Nothobranchius furzeri: one gene and its partner. The protein of the gene in region 2 purifies or fractionates together with the protein of the main gene of each other region. This does not show direct contact. Links are inferred from orthologs where the notes say so. Each region holds a gene or a part of one and is shown on either strand. Other genes may lie near its edges. The genes, in order: xrcc1 and tdp1.

What was found.
Region 1: the proteins of tdp1 (region 2) and xrcc1 purify together in Homo sapiens (affinity purification with mass spectrometry; 4 studies listed by BioGRID and IntAct, with this or other methods). This does not show direct contact. The link is inferred for Nothobranchius furzeri from reciprocal best matches to the Homo sapiens genes TDP1 and XRCC1.

What each region holds. Positions count from the first base shown.
Region 1 is NC_091745.1:68,560,554-68,564,370, forward strand, and holds part of xrcc1 (DNA repair protein XRCC1), read right to left. Parts: intron 1,816-3,817; coding exon 1,699-1,815; intron 1-1,698. UniProt on the Homo sapiens protein: Scaffold protein involved in DNA single-strand break repair by mediating the assembly of DNA break repair protein complexes. Negatively regulates ADP-ribosyltransferase activity of PARP1 during base-excision repair in order to prevent excessive PARP1 activity.
Region 2 is NC_091749.1:23,439,161-23,443,640, reverse strand, and holds the start of tdp1 (tyrosyl-DNA phosphodiesterase 1), read right to left. Parts: upstream 2,936-4,480; 5' UTR 2,801-2,935; intron 1,562-2,800; 5' UTR 1,560-1,561; coding exon 980-1,559; intron 778-979; coding exon 734-777; intron 620-733; coding exon 564-619; intron 432-563; coding exon 335-431; intron 1-334. UniProt on the Homo sapiens protein: DNA repair enzyme that can remove a variety of covalent adducts from DNA through hydrolysis of a 3'-phosphodiester bond, giving rise to DNA with a free 3' phosphate.

The DNA of each region.
Region 1 (3,817 bases), on a different chromosome or scaffold from region 2:
TGTGGAGTTGCGAATGCTAATAATTAGTGGTCGGATGATATATCAGGCAGATATATTCAATTTCTTCTATATCGGCCGAAAATATTTTTAAAAGCCGATTAAAAAAATTATAATCAGGCACCTGCGTGGCCAACTGCCGCCACTACTAGACTGAAGAAAGGACCCGAAGGACCCCAACACATGTTGTTTTGAGTTTGTTTTATATTTGAAGTTCAATAAATATTAAGAGATTTATTGACTTCTTTAATTTATACTGCCCACAGTGAGTTGTCTTTCACAATCAATGTGCTGCTAAAACGTATATATCAGCCTTAATAATCGGCTTTAGATACCGGCAACCTGCAACAAAAATCTTTAAAAATCGGTATCGGCCTTAAAAACCCCATATCGGGTTTTAGCTGAAACGTGCTCTGCTCTCTCCTGGCTGCAAAATCATCACAACCTTTTGCGGTCGTAAGCCAAGGTGAGCGAGACCATGAAGGCTAATTTTTCTCTGTGGCGTCGAGGAGACTTTTTCTTTTTCTGATCAGACTGATTTTCTATCTGTTTCTTTTCTGTGGCTAATGCAGGCGATGGGGCTGAAGAAAATGTTCATGTTCAGCACGCATGCTCACTTCTGAGCAACTGACTGTATTTTGAAAGAAAAATATCACGTTTTCTCTGAGAAGGAGACCTATAAAGGAAAAATGGCGTAAGGACATCCAGTCTGATGAACTCTCCCCAGCCAGTTTAGATGACAGAGCTCAGATGCTAAAGCTCAACTTTTCAGCCTTCTTGTTTTATTATTACAATAATGCAATTCTCCTTTTTGGTTTCTGATGCATCTACGTTAAGCCTCAAAACCTATTTCATAGCTCTGCGCACTTGTGTGGATTAGAATAAACTACTATTTTATTCTAAGAACAGACTTTATGCTTTTGTTGCAATTTTAGAACCACGGCATGTTGACAGATTCACGTTTGGGCGCATCTTAAAATTCAAACGGGAGGAATCTATGAGCAGTTTGACACATTTAAAAAAATCTTTGTGTCAAAAACTTTTTTTTTTCTTTTTTGAAACATACTGGAATACTTTATTTATGTCCCAGTTCGACTACAGTGAACGGCGGGGAGGTTGGGAGTGTGAGGGTATACCTTAATGATGAGGAGAAGCTCACAATCCAGCACCCTCCCAATTAATTGGGATGTTCCAGAGTGTGGGATGAGCGTTCAGCCTTACATTATTCAGTCCACATAGATTTGTCAGGAATGATAACGGGGGACCTTGATGTTGCAGACCCCCTCTTGTAATGAGGCGTACAGTTAGAGAGCTGCTGGAGCTCAGTTGGCTGAATTTGTGATCACAGCAGGGATCATCTGCTCAAGGTTACAGTGTTCTGTGTAGCAAGTGGGCAACCCTGCTGTGGGGGGGAGTATATTTGGATGCTTCAATCAATGTGAGTGCTGAGCACAGATTGTATGGCACAGAGACCCAGGCATGGCTTAAAAGAGAGTATTAATCATACATGGGTTCATAGTGTGTGCACATGCTCGATGCTAAATCTGCTTGGTGGTGTCCTTTATTAAAAAAACGCTGCTGAAATCCAAGCAGCTGCTTGTGTGGCAGAGTTCAGGCCTCTCAGCAGGACGGGACTTTAAATTCTGCTGTAGTTTAACCTTGTTAGAGTTAAAAAAATTGAAGATTTTATCCCAAACTTACCGTTTATATGAAATTTTCTGTTTCCTCTTGTGACAGTCCAGCACCCATTCCTTCCGAACGATGATGCCGCCTGCTGATTTCACCTGACTGTACTTGGGGGTGTTGGCAAAAGCACAGCTGGGGATTAATGAGACAAAACAAATGTGCACATAAACACACCCAAACGATTACATTACCACAGAGACAACAGAAAAACATCGCTCCGGCAGCTGAAGCAGACTAAATCACGGAGTAGCAACTGGGCCAGTGACACAACTCAATGAAAAAAAACACAAAGAATTAAATCACAGGAATAAAAATGTATTAAAAACTCATTTAATATTAAACTAAGTTGTTTTTATCAGAACTATTTAATATAGTCATCATATTTATATGAGTTTGGATTGGTTTAGTCAACTTTAATAAAGTTTTCTTTTTTTCTTCTCTTTCAGTTAAAAATCCATTGATTCTGCTTTAAGCTGCAGGCGCCTGTTCCTAAATCATCTACAGCTCTGCCCCGTCTACTCCAAATTTGACCGGTACTAATTTATCTGAAAGACCATCTAATTCACATCTCCTTTAAATGGATACTATGGAACTTTTTCACATTTTTAAATCATTTTCTTGAGCCAGTATGTGCTAAAATGACTCTTTACAGTGTTATTAAATGTCACTCAGACCCCATCGCCCTCTGTGACCAGAATACCACAGTTGCAACTTCAGAGTTGCCTTGCCGGACCAGTCCCTACTGTTGCTGTGGAGTGGAGCTAGCATGGTGGAGCTGAAGTCTGCTTCCAGCATGTTTCCTGCATGTTGTATATCGTGAACACAGCTGATTTGTTTCATTTAGTGATGAACCGCTCTTTAGAAACTTAAAAGACAAACACACAGCGAGGAGATAAGTTTCACTTTTGCTTTGAACACAGATAATAACAGACACTTGGGGGTGCTAAAAGCAAGAAAAACAGTCTAGCATCCCTTTAAATTTCTAAATTACTTAAAAATTATGATGCTGGAATAAGAAACTTTCACTTGGAGCATCTGTTTTGGCTAGAGTGAATTTGCTCTTAGCGATGGTGAGTTTATGGACCAGGAAAACTGTAGGATTTTTAATTTTCAAACTGGCCGATCATGCTGAATGTTCACTAATACTGATCTTTTCATGAGCACAATATATATATATATATATATATATATATATATATATATATATATATTTTTTTTTTTTTTTACTTTTACTTAAATATTTACAATGTTTTGTCCTGGACTGTTCCATTATTATGTAAAAAAAAAATATGGTAAATGGCCTTTATTTGATATAGTGCCTTATGGAGTCCTAGAACCCCCAAAGGCTCTTTACAACACAATCAGTCATTCACTTAATCACACACACAGCTGCCCTGGGGTGCACTGACAGAGGTGAGGTTCCCACCAGCAGGCAAGGGGGGTTAAGTGACTTGCCCAAGGACACAACGATAGGTCCCTGCATACTTTAAGAATGCTGTAATCCACCCACTTCTTAAAAAAACGAGTCTTGACGCCTCTCTCCATAGCCGTTTCAGACACATCTCTAAATTTCCGTTCATCACCAAGATCTTGGAAAAGGTTGTGGCTAAACAACTCACAGCTGCTCTTGATGAACAGAACATCTATGATAGTTTCCAGTCAGGTTTTCGTAGAGCTCATTCTACTGAAACAGCTCTTCTTAGGGTCTCTAATGACCTTCTGACTCACAGTGATGCAGGAGACTGTTCTGTTGTGGTCCTGCTGGACCTGACTGCAGCCTTTGACACTGTTGACCATCACCTGCTACTGGAGAGGCTGAGAGACTGGGTAGGCCTATCAGGATCTGCTCTGGAGTGGTTCTCCTCTTATCTCTCTGAGCGCTCCTTTTCTGTGGCCGTCTCCAAGTTTAGGTCCTCCACCACCTCTCTTACCCATGGTGTCCCACAAGGTTCTGTGCTGGGGCCTCTGCTCTTCATCCTCTATCTGCTTCCTCTTCAGCACATCCTGAGCTCCTTCAAATGAATCTCCTACCATCTTTATGCAGATGACATCCAACTGTACATCTCCTTTAAGCCCCATGAGATGTCTAAGCTGCAGCTGTTACACACCTGCTTAGACTCTATCAAAACCTGGA
Region 2 (4,480 bases):
AATATGGAAAAGTTGCAGAGTATGGCTGTAAACTGTTAGTTGTATGCCCATAATTATGTGGTGCAACACCGAGGGAAACTGTGTTAACCCTTTCAGACCTAAACCTCAAAAAGGCCATCTGGACCCTTCCTTCCCATTTTAGCCGTAAAAACAGCAAACTGTGTTAAACAATTAAGGTTTTAACACGATTGTTGGACTTATGAATCGATGCTAATCAATTCTTGACATTTTTATAAGAATCAATTCAGAATCGGTTTTCCGGTTTTTTCGACACTGCATTACTATTATGGGCTGTCTGTTGAACAGCTGCTTCCATTGTTGGTTCAGTGAGCACCTGACAGAAGCGAACGTGTGGAAAGGGCTGGGCTTGTTGCAGGAGCCGAGCCTTGGCCTCCCTCTTATCTCCATGGATGATCAGAACCGGGCGATCCCTGAAAAACACACACACACACACACACATTTCATTCAACTAGACTTCCTTTTGTGTTCTTCAGAACTGTGTGACGAGGATCTGAAGCGGAGCAGCGAGAACGGGGAGGTGGCAAAGACGAAGCAGGACTTACCTAAACTCTGGAGGAAACTGTTTAACCATCCAAGCAATATCAAAGCAGTAGTTGAACTATAAAAATGAAAGAGGAGCACCATTAGTTCATTAAAACAACACAAACCGAACGGGCCAACAGCCTGGTTGTTGTTTAAAGTTATTTTAAAAAGAAAACAGAATAAAACCAACCTGAACAGACTCTTTCAGCGTTCCAAACAACGGGGAGAGAAGATCTGCAGAGACAAAAGAACATCAGACTGATCGGAGGAGTGGGCTGGTCCCCTGTGAGACCTCCACACAGAAAGCAGCCACCATAAAACTAGAGAACGAGAACTTTACCTTCTTCTCACACTGAGTCAGTGTCAGAGGGACACATGAGGACACACTGCAGGACGTACAGAACATTAGAGGTTGGTGTCCTCCATCCAAACTCACCTCTGATGTGCAAAGCTCCGCTGTTGTACTCTCGGTCCAGTCCTGTGACTTTGTTGAGGTAGAATCTGTAAGTGTCATCAAGACGAGGAGTGCAGGACTCAAAGAAGTCCTCCGACTCATCTATATAGTACTGTCGTCCATGAGGACTTGGAGGACGCTCGCTCTCTGCTTTTAGCTTTTTAGTCTCAGGTTTCAGAGGAGCTCGCTTTGGCAGATTAGCCTGATTGTTCTGTTTCACAGCTCCATCATCTTCATCGCTGTCCGAGAGGGCCCAGCCTGTACCTTCTGACACCTCATTCTTTCTCTTCCCAGCCAGTGAAGGGCTGGTTTTGTATCTTACTGGGTTTATCTGGTTCTTTGTGGCAGTTCGTCTAGCCTCAGAGCCAACAGAGCGAGAGGACACCGGTGTCCTGGCTGCTTCTGCCTTCAGCGTCACCGGAGAGGCAGATGGAGGAGAGCTGTGGCTGATTTCAGCTGTCTGACGGGAACTGGCACCTGTAGTCCCAGAAGGGGGAAGAAGCTCATCTTCATCATCACTGCTGGAGATGGTCCACTTCCCATGATGACTGTCCAGAGACATGCCTGAAGACGCAGAGAGCAACATGATGAGCACATGAAGACACATGTTGTCACAAAAAGACAATCTGGAGCTCAGATCGTCTGCCGCCCTAGAGGCCAGAAGCAGAGCAAAACCTCCAGGCGTATAACAAACCCAAACCCATGGTTCTGGAACTGATTGAAGCGGTACTCTGGATCCTTTAGGGCTGGGCGTGCAGCATGTGGCCAGGAGGTAGGGGGGAAGAGCCGTTTCACCACGGGCCAAAGGAGATCAGAGCATCTTCGTACAAGAGCGTGAAAACCTGAAGTTTCCCCTCACAGTGGCAGTCCACTGCCCCTCAGGGAGGGGGTCATTAAGCATCAATCATTATTGTTATTAATTCAAGAATGTTGGAACTTCGGCCATCCAGCACAGGCGTTGATGCTGGTAGACGGCACTTTAAAAAAGGTTTATATTCAGATTTGTCTGACGTGATGCAGAACAGAAAATTCAAAATACAGAAAACACATTAACAAAAATATTGTTAAAATATAAAAGCTAAAGTGCAATACCAATGACGTCTGTTAAATACATAGTTATTCTTCTTTAATGGTAGACAGAACCACAGAGCCTGGCTGGCCTTTACTCAGCAGACTTGAAATTCAGCTAAATACACAAATACTTTAACTTCACCCCTCTGACCTGCGTCTCCAACAGTGTGGATGCTCCTGTTCCAGTGATACTGGGAAGAATCTAAATGACCAGCGAATCAACTTTGAGATTAATCGTGATTTAAGGGTAAACAACCCAAACAGCCAGAAACACGAGCCCATCCCAGCCGTGCAGAAACAACTCAAAGCAGAAAAAAATGAGTCTTTAGGATCCTGTGGGGTCTCTATCGGACCTGCTCCCGTTAAAAATGTAAAACAATGAGAAAATGTGGCATTAAAGTTATTATGGGATAGAAGATGGGACAGCTGTGCTGTTTACAAGAAGCATCACAGCGCTGGCGTTCAAGCTGAGATAAAAACGTTTTTAAAACCTCCTCTAGCGTCTTTAATGAAATAATACTATTTTATCTTCTTAAAAACTATTGAGAGAACTAAGTTGACAACGATTTCTAACAGAAATATAACAGCCAGAATCTTCTGCTGTAAAGTAGCTAAAAATCAGTCATGCACAGCTACAAAACACCGCGACAGATACCACGTTATATACATAAAATAAACAGATAATAAACTAAACACGACCGCTGAAGTGTGGCGGTGAACCGCGGCACTTACTTTACCAAGACAGGTGCGCAGCTACAGTTTTACTCTGTTGTGAAAAGAAAGTCTGTTGTTTACATCCAGCATGCCTGCAGGAGGAGGGTGCTCACGAAACACGAGTCCGGGTTGAAACTTCAATCTGTTTGAAAAGGTTCCGCTTGAATAGCGGGAACAGCCATCCATCCATTGTCTGAACCCGCTTGCCCATAGGGTCGCGGGGGTGGGGGTGGGGGGTGGCTATCTCCAGCGGTCAATGGGCAATCGATTCGGGCGGGGTACACCCATCGTATATATGTCGATGGGTGTACCCAGGACAGAGTGCCAGTCCATCGCAGATCGCAGGAACATATTTACATATTTCTAGAATATATACCAATAAGCATAGGCGTCATTTTAACCGGGGACGCCGGGGACATGTCCCCGGCAAATTTTATGATTGGCAGCTGTGTCCCCCCCACTTTAAAAAAAGCCTGATGATGAGGATTTTTGTTTTACCAGCTCAGATCTTATACCAGGGATTGGCAACCTGTTCCCATCAAAGAGCCATTATTACCCGTTTCCCACAGTAAAGAAAACACTGGGAGCCACAGCGGCCGCAGCGTTGTGGGCGGGGCCTACCCTCAGACTGCAGAGAGCTGCCCACAACAGGTGACAGCAGCCGGTACCGGTCGCTCACATGGGCGTCGCATCTGTGGGGGATTCAACACCCACACTTTTCCTTCTGTTTTGCTCACCTCCACACCAGTCTGGTTTCTTTAGGTCGCACTCACTCTGTTTGCCTCATCTCCTTCTTCACCTCCACTTCTGACAGCCGATGTCGGGTTCAAGGAGAGCAGGAGATGGAGGGACGGAAGAGCTCGACTGAATTCCTAATTTTACATCTTGACATTAGCTGTACAAAGTCTGAGTTTGATCAAGTGAAGAACAATAATTTGCAGAGGTTTATAACAGGCGCGGCGCCAGGTTTTCATTTTTGGGTGGGCCACGGTAATTTTGGACGGACCTTAATAAGCAGTGACTTAAGTGAAGCAGGCAGGTCGCGCTAGAAAATTTAGTTTAAAAAGACGTCATAAATGTTTTCCCCCGTCATTTTTATTTCTAAAATATGAAGTAAAAACTCACAATTTAATTTTCATTCATTTGTCATTAATATTTAGTCTACACCCGTGCGTTAAGTGGACCATCTTCCAGTAAAAGCAAAGCTTGCAGCCCACCTCTCCAAATGCGTAAAATGTGCATCAGCTGTTAGGCGCGCCACGCGCACCATCACCTGATCAGCCCAGACAAGAGCAGAGCAACTAGAGAAAGAATAGAGGATAATTCTGTCTGGATGTGGATGGAGATTACATTTTACAGCAGCCTGATCATCATTTAAATAAAACCATCACCTGGCTTCTAGTCCACGCTATCAGCATTATTTTAATTGGTGTGTGTGTGTGTGTGTGTGTGTGTGTGTGTGTGTGTGTGTGTGTGTGTGTGTGTGTGTGTGTGTGTGTGTGTGTGTGTGTGTGCGTGTGTGTGTGTGTGTGAAAATGTCAGAATGGGAAAGAAAGGTGATTTAAGCAATTTAGAGCATGGCATGCTTGTTGGTGCCAGACAGGCTGGTCTGAGTATTTCACAATCTGCTCAGTTACTGGGATTTTCACCCACAACCATTTCTAGGGTTTACAAAGAATGGTGGGAAAAGGGAAAAAC